2 linked regions of the Caenorhabditis elegans genome follow. The protein of the gene in region 2 interacts with the protein of the main gene of each other region in a pairwise test. Each region holds a gene or a part of one and is shown on either strand. Other genes may lie near its edges. The genes, in order: mdf-1 and bub-1.

The links.
Region 1: the proteins of bub-1 (region 2) and mdf-1 interact in a two-hybrid assay, tested with the Caenorhabditis elegans proteins (one study listed by BioGRID).

Annotation. Positions count from the first base shown.
Region 1 is NC_003283.11:9,539,321-9,548,507, reverse strand, and holds mdf-1 (uncharacterized protein), read left to right. Parts: upstream 1-4,281; 5' UTR 4,282-4,283; coding exon 4,284-4,488; intron 4,489-4,538; coding exon 4,539-5,099; intron 5,100-5,154; coding exon 5,155-5,423; intron 5,424-5,472; coding exon 5,473-6,347; intron 6,348-6,433; coding exon 6,434-6,563; 3' UTR 6,564-6,726; downstream 6,727-9,187. Other genes in the region: nstp-10 (GDP-fucose transporter), read left to right, coding at 1-142, 204-518, 575-740; his-37 (Histone H4), read right to left, coding at 989-1,204, 1,279-1,374; C50F4.6 (Cold-shock protein), read right to left, coding at 1,762-1,959, 2,012-2,092; his-41 (putative histone H2B 3), read right to left, coding at 2,344-2,580, 2,795-2,929; his-35 (Histone H2A), read left to right, coding at 3,225-3,374, 3,507-3,740; C50F4.16 (Uridine diphosphate glucose pyrophosphatase NUDT14), read left to right, coding at 6,902-7,097, 7,146-7,615, 7,710-7,847, 7,901-8,009, 8,055-8,152, 8,202-8,543; C50F4.12 (Transcription termination factor 3, mitochondrial), read left to right, coding at 8,773-8,856, 8,902-9,124.
Region 2 is NC_003279.8:7,249,999-7,259,696, reverse strand, and holds bub-1 (Mitotic checkpoint serine/threonine-protein kinase bub-1), read right to left. Parts: upstream 7,757-9,698; 5' UTR 7,751-7,756; coding exon 7,677-7,750; intron 7,632-7,676; coding exon 7,102-7,631; intron 7,059-7,101; coding exon 6,147-7,058; intron 6,103-6,146; coding exon 5,915-6,102; intron 5,870-5,914; coding exon 5,100-5,869; intron 5,056-5,099; coding exon 4,566-5,055; 3' UTR 4,474-4,565; downstream 1-4,473. Other genes in the region: myo-1 (Myosin-1), read left to right, coding at 93-233; ztf-15 (C2H2-type domain-containing protein), read right to left, coding at 1,076-1,228, 1,279-1,422, 1,475-1,969, 2,271-2,663, 2,803-3,276, 3,461-3,676, 3,719-3,805, 3,854-3,943 and 2 more; Protein lin-61, read left to right, coding at 8,415-8,777, 8,881-9,063, 9,112-9,278, 9,405-9,501, 9,552-9,698. UniProt on the Caenorhabditis elegans protein: Serine/threonine-protein kinase essential for spindle-assembly checkpoint signaling. Plays a key role in the recruitment of the checkpoint proteins bub-3, mdf-1 and mdf-2 to unattached kinetochores. mdf-1 recruitment is independent of bub-1 kinase activity.

The sequences.
Region 1 (9,187 bases), on a different chromosome or scaffold from region 2:
TCGGTTGCTGTGCCCTTATTATTTTTGGATTCCTGTTAGGAGTCGATCAGGAAGGTGTGACCGGAACTCTTTCCTACACGGGTGTCATTTTTGGAGTACTAGCAAGTCTATCAGTTGCTCTAAATGCAATTTACACGCGAAAGTGAGTACTTTTATTTTGTCAGCTTTAGACTTTAGTTAAATAATAATTTATTTTAATTTAGAGTTCTCTCATCTGTTGGTGATTGTCTCTGGCGCCTAACAATGTACAACAATCTGAATGCTCTTGTTCTTTTCCTCCCACTTATGCTTTTCAATGGAGAATTCGGAGCAGTCTTCTATTTCGATAAACTCTTCGACACAACCTTCTGGATTCTTATGACTTTGGGTGGCGTTTTCGGATTTATGATGGGATACGTCACTGGATGGCAAATTCAAGCAACATCGCCTCTTACTCACAATATTTCTGGAACTGCCAAAGCAGCTGCTCAGACTGTAATGGCTGTAGTTTGGTATTCAGAATTAAAAACTCTTTTATGGTATGTACTCGACTTTGATTTAAAATAAAACTAATTCAATATAAAAACAATTCCAGGTGGACAAGCAATTTCGTTGTTCTTTTCGGATCCGGAATGTACACTTACGTTCAGAAACGTGTCATGGACAAGAAAAATTCAGGAGCGTCTCCAGCTAGCGAGGCAAAATCTGACAAAGTGAAGCTTTTAGGAAGAGATGGAAATGCGGCCGAGGAATCAGTTTAATCTTGATGCCGCTGCTCGAAGTTTGCATTTTATTCAGTTATCCAGTGCAATCGGTGTATTAACTCTTTGTTCTTTGTTTTCTTTCGTGTGATATGGTTGGTAGCCACTGCTTATAATGTATAGATCGATTTATAAATTGTTTCTGAAGAACATCAAAATTAAGTCGGATAATATTTTATTGAATTTCAAAGCGAGTGATCTGGTTTTCATGATATATATTTACAGTAACCTCGGCTCAGCCGAGTGAATTATCCACCGAATCCGTAGAGAGTTCTTCCTTGACGTTTCAAGGCATAGACAACGTCCATCGCGGTTACAGTCTTTCTTTTGGCGTGCTCACAGTAAGTGACAGCATCACGAATGACATTTTCAAGGAAGACCTTCAGAACTCCACGAGTTTCCTCGTAGATAAGTCCAGAGATACGTTTGACTCCACCACGACGAGCGAGACGGCGAATTGCTGGCTGGAAAGTAAATATTGAAAATTAGATAAAATATTTTTAAGTTAAAAATATATATTTATTTTCAAAAAACTAACCTTTGTGATTCCCTGGATGTTGTCACGAAGAACTTTACGATGCCGTTTAGCACCTCCCTTTCCAAGTCCTTTTCCTCCCTTTCCACGTCCAGACATGATTAAAAGTTGTTAGAAAACGAAAGCGAATGAGTTGATAAAAACAGAATTGAACGTCACTCGTCGTCGTTCTTTTATACGCCAGCAGAAATGGGTGGAGTCAGATTGAACCACCCTGCGGGGACACATGTCAGAAAAGCGTCACAGAAACGAAAAATACGTCAAAAACTTGGTGGCGTGTTTGCGGATTCGATGACGCGGGAAAGGTTGTGCAGCAGAAATAACAGTCCTCCAAGGGTTTTCCTTGAAATTCGTAGTGTTCGGAAAGACGGTGAAGAATAAATATCATATTTTTGAGCAAAATGGTTTTATTGATGTAAAAATAAGAGATCTTGAAAATAAGAATCGGTTTGAGAATTTAGAAATTTTCGAAAACGAAGAACACAACTAAGTACTCTTCGAACTGGATGACTGCTGCTGCTCCTTATTCTGCTCCGAAGTTTGCTGCTCTTCGTCATCATCTGAACCTTCTGGAACATCTCCATACTTCTCCTTGGCCACCTTGTTGAACTCGGCATTTGTTGCTTGACGAAGAACTGCGAGAAGCTCTGGATCGAGATTCATTCCCTCTGGGAGACCTCCCATCTGAAAAGATATTTTGTTTAGGCTATTCTAAGTAAAATAAAATAGGTCTTACCTCCTTCAGCAAATCATCGAATTGCTTATTGGTCATCTCCAATTTCTTGTTTCCTTGGCTCTTCTTGGTGTTCTTTGGCATTTTTGCGCGTCGATTTGGTGTTGTGCAGACTGGTTGACTAATGAATGCCAACGTAGTGTATATTATATACCCATATGCGGTGGAGGGGCGGAGCGACAGATGTCTGAGGTCACTAACGCTCGCACATGTTTCCCAAAATCGAGTTTACTTTACCAATACCAATTTATTAGGTTTTTAGTATAAAACAGGAACATATGAATAAATACATTGGGGAATAGGAGTGTTAATGGGAGATCGTAATCATTAATAAATTATTTACTGGAAGTGTACTTGGTGACAGCCTTGGTTCCTTCTGAAACAGCATGCTTTGCAAGTTCTCCAGGAAGAATGAGACGGACAGCGGTTTGGATTTCGCGAGAAGAGATGGTGGATCTCTTGTTGTAGTGGGCCAGACGAGATGCTTCCGAAGCAATTCTCTCGAAGACATCGTTGACAAACGAATTCATGATCGACATAGCCTTGGATGACACACCGGTGTCTGGGTGAACCTGCAAATTATTTAATAATATTTTTGATTTGACAGAATAACTACTTAATATTATTTTGATTTCTATGATCCCCCAAGACTAATTTAAATGATTTTTAAATACCGGTATTATATCGTTGCAGTTCGTACTAAGTGGTACGTAGTTTTAACATACAACATGCTAATGGCTAAAACATTTTTTTATCATAACTTATTCGATTTGAATATATTCTCACCTGCTTTAAAACACGGTAGATGTAGACCGAGTAGGATTCCTTACGAGCATGCTTTCTTTTCTTTCCGTCTTTTGGCTTGCTGACGGTCTTAGCAGCCTTTTTGGCTCCTTTAGCTGATGGTTTTGGTGGGGCCATGATCGAATGAGACACGAAACGAAAATGCGAAACGAATCGATGTGTTTGGCGAGTGTTGTCTATGAGCGCTGCGAAGCGCTTTTATACTCGCCAGCGGTGGCCCCACCTCTCGCTGCCGCGGAACTAGACTCCGCCCACACCGAGAGAAATAGTTAAATAGAGAGGCGGGCGCGTGTGCGCATGCGTATTTTGCATCGATTTTCGTCGGCTTAGACCACTTTTCTGTTTCTCTTTCACCTCCAATTTGCTCATCTAGACTTCTAGTTCATTGTTATTCAACCTAATTTCAGCAAAGATGTCCGGACGTGGAAAGGGAGGAAAAGCTAAGACCGGTGGAAAGGCCAAGTCCCGTTCGTCGAGAGCTGGACTTCAATTCCCAGTTGGTCGTCTTCATCGTATTCTCCGTAAAGGAAACTACGCACAACGTGTTGGAGCAGGAGCACCGGTATGTAGAATTTTAGAGCTGCTGTGTTTTGTGCATTTCCTAGATTAAAAAATCGTTCAAACCTGAACTTGCTAGCATTTTCCAAATTATATCACTTTTGCTCTTGTACTTTTTAAAAACATAATGTTCCAGGTGTACCTCGCAGCAGTTCTGGAGTACCTCGCCGCCGAAGTTCTCGAGTTGGCTGGAAACGCTGCCCGTGACAACAAGAAAACCCGTATTGCACCAAGACATCTCCAACTCGCTGTCCGTAATGACGAGGAATTGAACAAACTGTTGGCTGGAGTCACCATCGCCCAAGGAGGAGTTCTTCCAAACATCCAAGCCGTGCTTCTCCCAAAGAAGACTGCAGGAGACAAAGAATAAGCAGTGTCACAGATGAATATTGCAACTAAAGATACTCCGCCCCGTTAATTTATATGTCATCTGAATGTATTGTTTACTCGGCTGAATTGTAAATGAAATAAATTCATATACTTTGCAGTTATCAGTAAATTATTTTTTAAAATGAAAATAAGAATTTGTTTTAAATACAATTTTTCCAGGTAAGAAACTTCCCAAAATTCGGATTTTTGAAAAAAAAACTATTCGCAAGATCATATTTTCCTATTTTTGCATGTTCTTGTGTCCGAACATGTTTCCGAATGACCAAATAATAATAAAAAATGAGGCTGAAGAATTGCTGGGAAAAGTGTGCGGCAGCATTGCATAATGCCGCGCCCTTGCAAGTGGGCGGGAAGACGTTATTTTTAAGATTTCTTCGCAGTTTGTTTGGTGACATTCGATAAACTGTTTTTGTGCGAATGGATTTGTTTGACTTCCCTTGATTGCATTAAACATATTATTAATCTCTATCTCAAAATTCGAATCGCTCACTGTAATACATTATGTAACTGATTTTTTTCAGACATGAATTACGATGAAGACATTGTCGATGAAGACGAATATGAAGAGTCGGAAGCTACAATGTTGTTCGCTGAAGAAATCAAAAAACAGTTCAAAAGAGAGTTTCCGTTGAAAGCAGAGACAGAAAAAAAGCTGAAGCAGGCAACATTTCGTCGACATGCGCCGGTGGAGGCCAGAAAAATCAATTTCGATATGACACTCTCACCTGGTAAATTAACTTAATCCATTTATTAAAAATGTTTAAAATATTTTATTTAGTGGCTCCAATCGAATTGGCAAGTGCAAAAAAAGAAAAAGAGTCGGCACAGCGTCAATTGGTAACACTCCGTGAAGATCACGAACGTATGAAACAAATGATGCAAACGAATCAAGCGAAGTTGGCTGAAAAAACCATTGATCTGGAGACGAATCGTGAGAAAATGTTGGAGCTGCAAGAGCAAGTCGAACTTCTGAAGCAAGAACGAGATGACACCATCGCAGAGTGTAATCGAAACGTTGATATTTGGACAGCATTCGGCAAAAAATACTACACTTGGTACTCAATGGCGAATACTCAGCTGGAATCTGTGAAATTGTACATAGACAACGACGGAAAGTTTGAAAACGACGAAGAAGTTACACGATTGAATGCAGTTCCAAGACAGATGTACAGGGCTCTTGAACAATTCGATTATGATGATGAAACAGTAGAAGAACTTGGTTCAGGAAGTCTGCTAGAATATGAAGGTGTTTCATTTGCTACCCGTAGACCACCATCTCCTGAAACGGAAAGAGAAATCGCTCGTGCTGATCAATCGGCTGCTAACTTTACTCTACCTCGTAAGTCCGGAATTTTCAAACTTTTGTTTGCAGGCAAATATATTCGTATTTTCAGAATCCAATTTCACACTTCTCGAGGATTCAAATAACACCATAATGCCAGAAGATCAAACAATGATGACTGATGGCTGCATTGCCAATCGATCACTTATTGATTACGAGAAAGATGAGAAAATTCAGCGATTACTACTGGAAAACAGTGTTCTCAAAGATCGTTTGAATGTCTCGAGTGGGCGTGCTGAAAGGTCGATGATTTTCGAAGAACGTAATCGTACTTTAGAGTTTGAGAAGAAAGCTCTCCATAAGCAGTTGGACAGCACATTTGTGAGTGAATAATTATTGTTAAACTAATTTCACGTTTAATTTATTTTAGAGTGAGATTGAAGCTATTCGGATTGGCCAAGCAGGGAACTTGTTCAATATAGACGAGAAAATTCCTTCGAGTTCAGACAATTCCGCTAAGCAACTGCAGCTCATTGACAGAATCACTCAGCTCATTACGAAGAACAATCAGCTCGAAAAAGATTTTGAAGCAGCTACTTCCAGAATGACGAAAGTTATGCGAGAAAGCACAGACTGTGCTCGTCGCAACGAACGACTTGAGGATGCTTTTTCGAGCGAGAGAGTCAGAAGCCAAGACCTTGAAAATGAGAAAAGCCGGCTCTCTGAACAGTTAGAGTTGAGCAACAATGAATTGGAGAAGGTCAAGAAACAGTTGGAAGAATCTCAATCTCAGCTCGATGAAGTTCTCAGCATGACTTTAACTGTCCCAGCTTCAGAACCGGCATCTTTACCTGCTCCAACCGATGCCGGAAATAGTACACAGATTTTCCATATGGCTTCTAATCCACTCCAAGATGCTCACAATGAATTCCAAGCGTCTGAAAGTAGGAAAAGAAAGTTGACAGATGCTCCAGCTGGTGATCAATGGAGAGAGCAAGAGTTTGCTGAATTGGAGAAGCGTCTTTACGACTGCGAAAGTGAGAAAAAAGTACTCGAAAGTAGTTACAATCTTCATAAGGAACTCTCGTCGAAGTTCCGGCAAGTTTGTATTGCTCTGACCGGTCTCCAAATCAAACTGAAAGATGCAGACGAAGGAATATGCACTGTACAAAGCGAATATGAAGGTGGTTCCGCTCAGCAGTTCGTGTTTAAGTATTTCTATGGAACTCCTCGCATCGATATGCTTGATGTCAGCTGTGAATCAACTACTGAAATGCTTCGAAAGTGGGAGCCACTTATGAAAAAGTTTGTTAATTTTCTGGTTACTTACTATTAGAAGTATAAATACTCCCCGTTGTTGTGAGGCATCTTCTTAAAATATGTTTTTTCAGGTACATTGGCGACCGAAATTCGATTCCGGCTTTCTTAGCAGCAATGACTCTTCAGCTGGAACAGGATCGAGATTTTGACGAGACGATGCATGAGAGAACACATACATTCAGTGTCTTACACGAGGACTAAATCATTGAGCTATCTAGATCTCAATTATTTTTCTTCAAAGGAGAAGCTGTTAAATACACTGTTACCTGAATATTTGATGTTTCATTCCATTTTATTTATTTATTTTTTAATCTAAAACGTGTAGTGATCAAAATTAATCACACAATGAACGTTATATTTTCTTTCCAATTCAATGTTTACTATGGTATATTGTTTCGTACAATCTAAAGTTTATCTGCTCGTATATAGGAGAAATACCATTATGAAAATAGGAAAATTGGTTTTTGAACATCCTGTATTTTTCTAAAACGAGTTTGAATGATACCGCAATTAAATGATATAAGAAAATATATTTTCAGATGACAGCGTCAAAAATTAGTGATGTCTCTTTTGTGACTGATTTTGTATCAAAATATCAGAAAGGAATGGAGATGTCTTACACATTGGATGGAAATTCACGTGTTAGTGAATTCAATCAAAAAATGAGCAGTGTATCCATTCTTCTATTTCATAGAGATTTAGAGCAATTTCTTCTAGTTCGTCAATTTCGACCAGGTTTCCAATTTTATTCTATTGAAATGTGAGCGTTAAGTTGTTTTTTAGCAATCTTCACCGCATCAATTTCAAATTCGCCGGAGAATCACGGTAAAGAATTTGATAAAATTGACTGGAGCAGCTATGATTCTGAAACTGGCTACACCATTGAACTTTGTGCTGGACTAATTGACAAGGAAGGATTATCTCCTAGAGAAATTGCATCAGAAGAAGTTGCTGAAGAATGTGGATATCGTGTGGATCCTGATGATCTAATTCATGTAATAACATTTGTTGTGGGTGCTCATCAATCTGGAAGTGCTCAACATTTATATTACGCGGAAATCGACGAATCCATGAAAATCAGCGAAGGAGGTGGAAATGTTCATGAGGGAGAAGTAATTACTAAAGTTTATTACCCTGTCAACGTTGCACGTGAAATTGCACGCCCTGCTATTGGAACACATGCAGAAGTGAAAGGACCTCCAGGCGTTCTTTTTGCTTTTCAATGGTGGTTTTTGGTTTTGGATCCAAAAAAGGTGAATAAAAGCATATTTTTATTTAACTTTTGAAGACTGGAAAAACCCTTCTTAAAAAACGTGTGTTTACGACAATCATTTAAAATTTTTACAGAAAGGGCTCATCGCAACTCCACCAACTGGATATCAATGGCAGCCGCACAATGTAAAAACCATTTCGAACGTAAAATTCAACACTGATTTTGACAAAAAGAAGTATGGTTATAATCCAAAGAGAATGATTTTCACAATTGTGAGTTGAAGTAAAGTTCTTAAATTATATGTATAAATGAGAATCTCTTGTAGAATGGAATAACCCGCAACTGGGATTTAGCCTTATGTCCAAACACAGCTACATGTATTCTTGTAGATATGGTGAAGAAAGAATTGATTTTCTTGCAGAAACTCCGTGCACGTAAGTAATTTTTAAATCGAACTTTAATGAAATGTAAGTTTACAGCGGTGTTTGTTGGAAAAAATCGTTTTTTGAAAGAAAACATTGGAAAGCCTCTGGATGAGATTGATTTCTCGAATTCCGATCCTAAAATTGCATACACTGTAAGTCTAGAATGCTGTATTTCCCACAATATTATATGTAATTTTCCAGCTTGAACTCGTTGTTAACCGTGTTCCGGATTTCGACGATCCTCGAAAATTCGCTCGAATCTCAGTGAAGCAACTTGGCTACGATCTTCCAGAAGATTCGTTTAAACTCCAAGCAAAGTGTATTCCGGGAATCGGTCAATCTGGAGACACCCAATCTATTTTTGCCGTGGATGTTAGTAAAGCACGACTTTGTGAGAAGGAAGAAGATGAAGACATTGAAGAACTTCGTGTTTCTTTTGCGGATTTGCCGTCTCTGTACCGACAACACAATATAGGACCACCAACTACTTACTATGCCATTGGATTTGCTCTTGATCAGCTTCTCGAGAGAGACACGCTGTAAATCGAATACATTCCTGCTTTTCTATATTTAAAAACATTTCCCATCGAATTGTACATAGACCTATCTAGACCGGTGTCTTATACGCATCCTGTTTAATGAATAATAAATTATTTTATCATGCAGAATGTGAGATTTCTAGAGACTTCGTGTGTAGAAACCACTATCTACCTTTTTTGAGTGTCAGAGATATCCTTGGACAGGACATTTTAAACATTTTTAAATGCAGACAATGACAGTACCAGCATCGATTGTTCGTTTTATGGGTACTACAGCAATTATTGGATTTCGGCAACAAACGAGAGGCATGACTATGGTAATATCTAATGTAACGTATTTTTATTCTAATTTCTAATTTAAGATTACACCAAAGAAGCCTCCAGATCTTTCCTTCAAACCTGCAACGCAAGTAAAAACTGTTTCGGAGAAGAGTCTTCAAAGTTCTCTCACTGATGAAGAAAGTCAAACTAATTTAGAGATAATTCAAAATTTTGATGACAAATGTCAAATTGAGAACACACGAGAAGTAGCAACAATTTCATCGGCTATTATTGCAGAGGCGCGAAGATTAAAATCTGAAACTGGTAGGGTTTCATAATTTTGATTATATTTCCAGATACTCTGAAAAATTCGTTCAAAAAATGCCG
Region 2 (9,698 bases):
CAATACCAAATATGATTCCACAAAGTTGGAGTCGTGAAATGTTGTTTTTTTTTTCAAATTTATTTACAAAAACTAAAAGTTTGAATTTTCAGGAAGAGGTCGCCACCCAGAATCTGTCCAAATTCCGACAGATCCAACTCGCTCTCGAGAATGCCGAAGAGCGTGCCGAGGTTGCCGAGAACTCATTGGTTCGCATGCGCGGTCAAGTTGTTCGTTCGGCTACCAACAAGTAAATTTGCCCCCTGAATAAATTTCCATGGTCCCCACACACAAAACTTCACTTCCCCATTGACCTTCAAAACCTCTCGTCGATTTTCTTCCTCCTGTCCATCATCTTTTTCAGCAGTGCTGCACACACAAATAATTTCTCATAGTTTTGTATTTTCCCCCACATATCTTGTTTATAATCAAGTTTTTCTCAGTTTCCTTTTTCCTAATTGTTAAAGTTTCAGTCTCAATCATATTCTCTCACTCTCTGTTTGAACGATTCGCGCGCCGAGTCTCCGTTGATCTTTAAATTCTGTTGATTTCTCCCGACGCTCCACACGTCTGAAATTGATATAATCTGAAAGTCTCGTTGACATCATAATTCTTTCGATTCTAGCGATCGACCCTCCACATTATCAATCAGTAAACTGCCTTCCAAAAGCCCCAGGCTCTAGAAAATCAAATCAATTCAAAAAACGCAAACGGTGTGTCTGTCATCATCATCATCAACTCTTCTTTTTCAAGAATAAAGTTGTAATTAAGACTCTCTTATGTAAATACAATCTCTTTCTTTCTTTCTTCTTTTCTATTTACTCTGCACAAATGATGATAAGACACCAGGATCTGGCAGGATACTTCACTCAAGTAGTACGGTTTCGCGCTGTGGTTTTTTCCAGGAACTCCCTTTGCTTGGTAAGAATCACAAAACGTTTTCTTCTTGTGGAATGTTGAAGAACGAATAATAGTAAACATGGAGTTTAATTGAAGAAGGTTTAAATCTAGAAGACAGAACGTTCAAAATTTTATTGTCTGAAAAGTAAAGAATAAAGCACAAGGGAGCAGTACATAACATCGTATTAAGAATTATCTACTTTCTCGAGAAATGCGGTTGAATAGGAATGAAAATTTCACTTTCTTCTACGACGAATATTTGTACATTGTCCATGTAATCGTAATTGATGTCTTCTTCCGAATATCTTCTCGTAGTTGTTTCATTTGTAGATCTATTGTTCCTGCAATGCTGGTCATGTTGTAGCATATGTGATATAAATTCATTACATATAAACTTACCATCATATTATGATCATGGAGAGCACGATAGTTTGGAAGGGTTTCAGAACAGTTGTTGCATTGAAACATTTCTTTTCCGTGAGATTCGTGTCGATGTGAGCACAACGCTTGCAGGTTATGAAAGGAGGCGTGGCAATCTCGGCACTGAAATTATAAATTCTCAAACGTTATTTTTTAATTAGGAAAATTAACAAACCGTCCATTTCTCTGGAGTATTCGAATCTAGACGAACACGGGATGTGATTTTTCTCTGCAACGCGGCTCCATTTGTATCGCTCCTGTGATGTTGTCGTAAAGAAGAACTTCCCGGTTGTTGAATATTATCAAATACGTTGCCGTATTGACACGTCTTGCGATGTTCAGACAGAACATTCAAATTTGCAAAAGTTGCTCTGCAGTCAGGGCACTTGAGAACTGATATATTTTGAATATTGAAAAGTCTCTTATCTCGGATCTTGTATGGCTTGAAGCATTCGTGACGGTCAAGAGTGGTTCGATCGATACAGTTTCGGCCACATTGTTGGCAACGGAAGATTGAGTATTCCATACTCATATGACGACGAATCGAACTTAGTGTATTGAACTTTTTCGTGCACACACCACATGTTAGCATTGCAGTCAATCCATGAATTTGCTTCCGATGATGAAGAAGACTTGCAACACCGACACAGAACTTTCCACAGATGGAACACTGAAAACTTATAATGTAAGAACAACATATTTAGAGCTTCAATTTTGTAAAACATAATGATACCTTTGTCAATTTTCAATTTTTCAATTTTTCAATAGAAATCAATTTTTGCCGCAATATTGCAGATACAGCTACAGTAATCCTATTACGTATTCCCTTTTAATACAATCTTATCATATGAATCATTCACTTCAAAATGTTAAATTTACATTCTTTGGTGATAATTTAGATTTTAAGACATGATTACTGAAAGAAGTATGTTAACCAAACAAAAAGATTTAAAAGAAATGAAGTAATCTACCGGAATATTGACCAAATTCCCAGTCGAAGAAGATGAGGATGAAATGGTAGCATCAGCATCTTCGTCATCGTCATTGTCGTCTTCTCTTTCAGGTTCTATACCAAATAAATTGACATCTGGAACCACGCTGATCTCTCCTTCACGTGGTCGTCTGTCCCGCAACGAGTTGACATCCAAATGTACATCAGAAAGAGCTGGAGTAATGTCTGGACAATGCTTCTTGTGATAATCAAACCAATATTCATTTTGATATTTTTTATGACAGTTTGGACAGCTTATGGTTTGATCTAAAAGCGCAGGAGGAAGTGCAGTAGATGAATTACACTTTTCCATGTGGCGTTCGAACCAAAAACTCGAATTGTATCTTCGGTAGCAAACATTGCACTTGAATTCCTGCAAAACAATGTTTATGTCCCATCTCTGACTGAAATTTATTTTTTTTTTGTAAAACAAGAAAAAATAATCTGTTAAATTAGTTTATATTTTCAATTAGTGAAGTTCTCGCAAAAACGTTTCACTAAACATTCTCCACCTGAATTTCGTCCGTTGTTTCCAAGCATTTGGTTCTATGTTTGAGCAACCAATGATAGTGTTGATATTTCTTTCCACATAATACACAAGCGAATTGGAAACGGTCTTCTTTTGATTTTTCATGATTCTCATTAGACAAAACAACGCCACCAAATTCTTCATCTTGAATCTCTTCTTTTATTACTTTTATTTCTTCCGCATTTACACGTCCCGTTCTTCTTCGTTTTTTATCGTCGATTGTTTCATTTTCCTTACATCGATGCTTTTCCAAGTGCCATTTGCTGGCAAACGATGTATTGCAACCGTCACAATGATATACTTTGTATTCTTGACTTAGATGCAAATAGATATGTGTTCGCTTCGAAAACTCTTTTCCACAGAGACCACACATCATCATATCTTTCAGTGAATGTTCTTGATGACGATGATCAAGAAGACAGCGAATGGTTGAAAATTTGGATCCACATATTGAGCACTGAAATTGAAGAATAAAATCATGTTCAGAATGTTATGCTTTAGATTTTGAGAAATTTGATGGTTGGTACACACTTTTAAGTTGTAATAAATAAATCTATAATAGTGATATGGTATAATAGTGATAATAGTGAAGGTTTTTGTTCATTTACAGAGAATGAGATATAGAACTAAAATGAACTAACCGAGCAATTAACAATTGGATCTCCTCCTCTTTTTGTCCAATATTTGGCAGAGGGTTTCGATGTCAAATTACTACGCGACTGCCGGTTTCCTCGTGGGGTCCGTCTTTCTTCGATACTTTCATCGGTTTCATCGCTACTGTCTGACTGATTTAATAGTGTATCAGCACCTTCACAACCATAGTTGTTCAACACGTTTATGTATTGGACGCTGTTGTCCTGAAAATGTTCATTAGAAAATGAATTACAGTTGGTTTTTACACTATGGAAGCGATTATTCCACGAAAATGAGCCATCAGCTTGGTTGTACTGAACTCCGGACGGATTTTCGAATATTGAAAGATATTGCTGGAATTCGAAAATTATACAGCATTTTTACCAAATTTATATTTCAACCTCATCTTGCATTTCATGCTTTGGATCTCTGATTTCAACTTTATTCAATTCCTCTGTGACTTGTGAAGATGTGGATGGCACGTTTTTAGTCTACAACTCTAACTTTATGTTGAGGTTTCAATGAAGATTAAATACCAAAGATGGTCGAAGTGAAGCTTCGTCGAAAATTGCTTTGATATGACGAAGCAATTTTTCATCAGGCATGTCATGATAAAAACTGCCAATTTCATTTTCGACATTTGGTAAAAGCTGAAACTTTTTGCAAAATAAGTTGATTAAACACTAGCGCTCACCACAGTCTGATCTGATTCTTCCATTTTTACAAGAGGATGGCTGGAAAATATTTTAATTGTAATTTTTTCTAAATTCTTTTTTAAATATCACATTTTATGCAAAACGCGAAGAAAACAGTTGATGAAACAAAACGAATGTGCAACTATTTAGATCTAACTGTGATCTATTGCAATACTTCCCTTTAAAGGCGCATCAAATTTCTACCGTGATGGGTCTCGCCGCGCCCAATCTCGAATATCACGTTCAAATTTGGAAAGCTTTCAAAAACTGAAAACTTCGTTTAATTCAATTTGTTTTACCAGAAATAAATTAGATGCACAATTATTAAAGCTCCGAACGAGTTTATTCACATGATATCAATACAAAAGACAATAAAAGAGAGCAATAAGAGCACGAAATACAAATTCATTGTGTTGGGCTACTTTTGGTTGGCGGCAAGATCACAGGCCTCATTGAACTTGGAAACCGCCTGTCGCCATCCCGATGCTTCAAACTTTTCATTCCAGATTTCCGAGAAAGACTTGATCAGGATATTCCAGTCCGGAAGTGAATCACACGAAGGGATGTTGAGGAATCTGTTAATGACATCGTAGCAAGCATCGCGAAGAATGTTGCGCCTCTTGATGTCGACATTTAACGAATAGTCTCCAACGCTAGCTCCAGTCAACTGTGCATACTTTCCTGCAACAACGACAGCCATTGTTGCGGCGAATCCGAAGTAATCGGCTTGGTAAGTCCAAGAACGACCGTCAACCATTTCCGGGCAATCAAACGCTTCTGTTCCTGCTCTTCCCTTGAAACGCTGGTTCTTCAGTGGCATCATGTCAATGGCACGTCCCCAGTCGATAATCTTGATGACAAAGCTGTCGTTACTCATCAGAGCATCTTTGCCCCATTTATCATCGATCCTGAAAAAAGATAACGTCTAAAATTAACAAATGTTTTCCCATACTTTCTGGTGATCATAAAATTATCCGGTTTGATATCTCCATGAATAATTTTAGAGGCATGGACTTCCTTCACAACTCGGGCCATTTGGGTAATCAAGAAGCAGGTTATGTGCCAATTCGGATCCTTCATGTTATTCGCATATTCAAGCAGCGTTCCATATTCGTGGTACTGATTAACAAGAAGCGAAGCAGTTGAATAAACATAAGCATCCATCACTTCCATAATGCAACATTTGGCCATCAGCTCCAAACCTCGATCTTTCAGGCGATTCCGCATTTGGTCGCAAATGTACACTTCCCACGAACATGATGGCACCTCGTACTTCACAGCTACTGTCCTTTGATCATCGGTTACAGCCCGGTATACTTTAGCGTATCCACCTTGACCAATAAGAGTTTGAATGTGGAGCTTTTCTCCGCTAACCTCGCAGTCTCTCAGAGCTTGAATCTTCGGTGCTCGTTCTTGGAACTCGTGCATATTCTGGGGAGGACGCACAAGACACATCAATTTTTTTCGAAGAGTTTCGTCCCATGGATTGATGTCTCCTTGCTTGATAATTTCACTGCGCCGACGAATCTTGCAACCAGTGATTTCAGATTCGTTGTTTTCAGTGAGATTTGGAATTTCATCAGCACCAATTGAAAGACGTCTTCCTAGATTAGCTGTCAAACAATCGATAGATGAATCTTTAGGATCTGATCGTTCAGGCTTTGATGACTCTGTGACTGAGGGCTGAACGGCTTGATTTGCTGCTAGTGACTTTCGACGTGTCTGAAAAAGTTTGAATAGTATGTCGAAAATTTGTCTGGCACTTACTAATTTACTGAAAGTACTGCTGGTTGGAGCAACAAATACTGGAGCTTCCTGTTCGTGAGTGCTTTCCTCCTCTTTATTTCCGAAATATTCATCAATGTTGACCAAATGAACTCCTTGTGCGGGGGTCGATGTGACGAAATTACCACGAGACGGTTTGAAAAAGCCAAACTCGATTTCATCGTCATAAACTAAAAATTAAAACATAAGTTGTTATATTTTTCGATAAACCCACTATCATTAAACATTGTAGCTGGTGAGGTTTGCGTCACTGGAGAAACTAGGACAATTTCGGGTTGTACTTCAGATTCCTCAACTTTCTGAGATTCTTCCGGTTCGGCTGCCTCATCGTAAACAACATTCAACCCATTCGACACTTTTTTCGGACGCTCCTGTGTAATGGTCATTGTCGGATCAGGATCACAGAGCACGGAAAAGTCAGTAACTATCTGCGTAGTAGCTAAAGATCTTTCTGGAACGAAGACAGAATCATCGCCAAGGACCATTGTCTTTTCGCTAGCAAGATGTACAGTGTCGGAAAACATAGCATGTGCCTCCAAACACTTATTTTCCGCCATCAAATCCAATCCAGCTCCACTCTTTGATGTTCTTGCAGAAGCAGTTGAATAGTTGGAAGATATGCTTGTGGAACGGTCTGGAGGGTTACCATCTTTTCTGCCGGCAGTCATAATCTTGAGTCTTTCATCATCATCTGCATCATCGGAATCACTAACATCTTTCTCCGAAGCAGACTTTGTATCCGACGAAAGTGTCACTGTCGCTGGAGGATTCTCAATTTTGCTCCGAAGTGCAGGTCTGTGAGCATCCTTCGTTGCAACCAGCGGCGAATAAATCCGGCTTCGCTTTTCCTCCTCATCATCAACCGTTTTCTCACTGACTGGTGAAAGATGACGTCTTCTAGGATTTAGATTGGCGTTGAATCGGTTTTCAACTTCTTCGCGGGCTTGTCTGTCGGTATCAATGACTTGATGTTTCACGAAAACGACACCAGAGTCTTTTCGTTTTCGGTAATCGTCATCAACATCTTCTCCGAAAGTGTCCTTCCATTTGGCAAAACGAAACTCCTCAATCGATATTCCATGATAGTTTGGCCTGTCGATACACGCCTGGCGAAGATCCGTTTTGGCTGTAAGTTTCCAATGAGAATAATAACTTTTTTTCAAACTTACTTTTTGGTCCAAATGCAGCTTTTCCCGAGTTATTTATAGGCACATTGTGTTGCAAAAAGCAAACCGAAGAGCGACGCTTTTTCTTAGAACCCGCATTGAATCTGAAAAGATCCATAGTCTCATCCGGTCGTGTGAACATATCTCCAGATTCTCCATTGAAGTATTCATCGACCAAATCGCGAAATCCCGATTCAATTGCTGTCATTTCTATTCTTTCGGAAAGACGATCTCGTGCCAACTTCAGGACATCTTTGAATTCCTCCAGCATTTGATCTTTTCCACATTCTTCTGCCCATTGCAGATAGAACTTCAGCGAACCAGTGAAATGATCCTTTTTGAAAAGTTGTTCATAAATGCCTCTTCCCTTCAGGTTTGTACTAGATCGACCCATAACTTTGTAGAGACGGAGCATCGCTTCGTTTTCACGAATTTGATCAAACTTTTGCTCCCGCAAAATTCTCCTAACGCAGTCGTATAATTCCGCCTTCATTTCCTCCGCGGTCATCATTTGAGACAACGTTTCGATTTGCCTGAAAGTGGTGACTATTTAAAATACAAGATATACGGAAACTTACGTTGCGAACGTCTCAAGACCACATGTCGACGGATTGGTGTCGAGTGGAGCGAATGCCACTCTAATGTGGGACATAACTTTCTGAAATAATCTGAATAACAAGTTTTCAAAGTAGAAAGGACGCGAATAAAAAAATCATCGGTTCACGAAAATTACGGAGTTCATTGGAGACGTGAAATCCCTCTTTCTCCTCTAAATTTTAGGACCTTCGAAAACAAGAAATGGATATAAACGCGCGCGTCTTTTTTGAAAAGCGAGTCTTCGCGGGCCTGCTCGATAGAGCGCGTTTTTCGCTGTAGTTCAGTGACGTCACTCTCATGGCTACGTTCTTTTGAATCTGGAGAATTGCGCACTACTGAAAATTGGGCGGTGCTTTATTGCTATAACTGAAAATTGATTTTAAAGCTATTTGAAATTATAAAAAAACAATTTTTTAAAAAGTGTTTGTATGCAATTGGAATTTAATTTGAAATGTTACACTTTTAATAACACAAAAAGCCCGCCCATTTTTTCGTAGTCCGTTCGTCACTAGTTTCGAAATCGACGGATCTGCATTGAGTCTCTCATTTCTTTTTTATTATTTTTCAAACATTTTCTCCATTTTCCTGTTTTGTTTCTTTTTTTTTTAAAGCAAAATGTTTCGAAATAATTGAAGTTAGCGTGGCCCAGTAGTCTAATTTGTCACCAGATAGTTAAGAGTGTTTTTGTTCGTCCGAAAAGTTAGTTCCCGAACATCAAAATGCTAAAATTAGTCATTTTGTGCTTCGCGTTGTTCTACAATACAGTCAGTTCGACAAGATTTCTGTTTGGCGTCGAAGTTAAGTGTGATTTTGATGAAGTGTTCCAATTAACAGTGTCGCATTGGGAAGACGATGGCAATACTTTTTGGGATCGCGATGAAGACATCACTGGACGTATGACTATGTTTGCTCGAAAGAAAATATTTTTCTATCAGGACGGCCATCATGGATTTGAATTTGGAAAGCTCGAGCCTTATGGGTGGTTTCTGCACAATTGCACGAAAAATGGAAATTTTCGCGAGTATAGGCACGGGTTGAGTAGCACCAGTGGATCCAATGGGTTGGAGTATATTGAGTACACTGTGAATTTGACGAACGCCTGAGAAATATCAAATCAAATCGAACTAACTTTCAATTTCAATAAACATTCTCTCTAATTACGTTTTAAACCAGTCTTAATTTCAGATGTCTGAATTTCTGAAAATTGTCAGAGCTAACAAAAAATCGGACAGAAAACTCGATAAGACCTACTTGTGGGAATCCTATTTACATCAGTTCGAGAAAGGAAAAACTTCTTTCATTCCAGTTGAAGCATTCAATCGTAACCTTACAGTTAATTTTAACGAATGCGTGAAGGAAGGAGTTATCGTGAGTTCATATTGTTCGTAAATCGGTTTTAAAATACAATTTTTGTAGTTCGAAACAGTGGTCCATGATTATGACAAGAACTGCGATTCGATTCAAGTCAGATGGTTTGCACGAATTGAAAAAGTTTGCGGATACAGAGTTCTGGCTCAGTTTATCGGAGCTGACACGAAATTTTGGCTCAATATTTTATCGGACGATATGTTTGGTTTGGCAAAGTAAGTTGGACGCTCAGCTCTTTCTACTATTCTAAATAAATAATGGTTCTGTTACATAAAATTCTAGAGAACAATCGTATTAAAACTTCGAAACATTTGTATAATAGTAAAATTTGAACATTTCAGCGCCGCAATGAGTGATCCCAATATGGATAAAATTGTATATGCTCCGCCGCTTGCAATCAACGAAGAATACCAAAATGATATGGTAAATTATGTAAATGTAAGTTTGTTTTTTTCCGAATTTATGTTAATATCATCTCACAACTTCAGAATTGCATTGATGGCGAAATCGTCGGCCAAACTTCGCTGTCTCCAAAATTCGATGAAGGGAAGGCTCTCCTAAGCAAGCATCGTTTCAAAGTTGGACAACGTCTTGAACTATTAAATTATTCCAATTCTACTGAAATACGCGTAGCG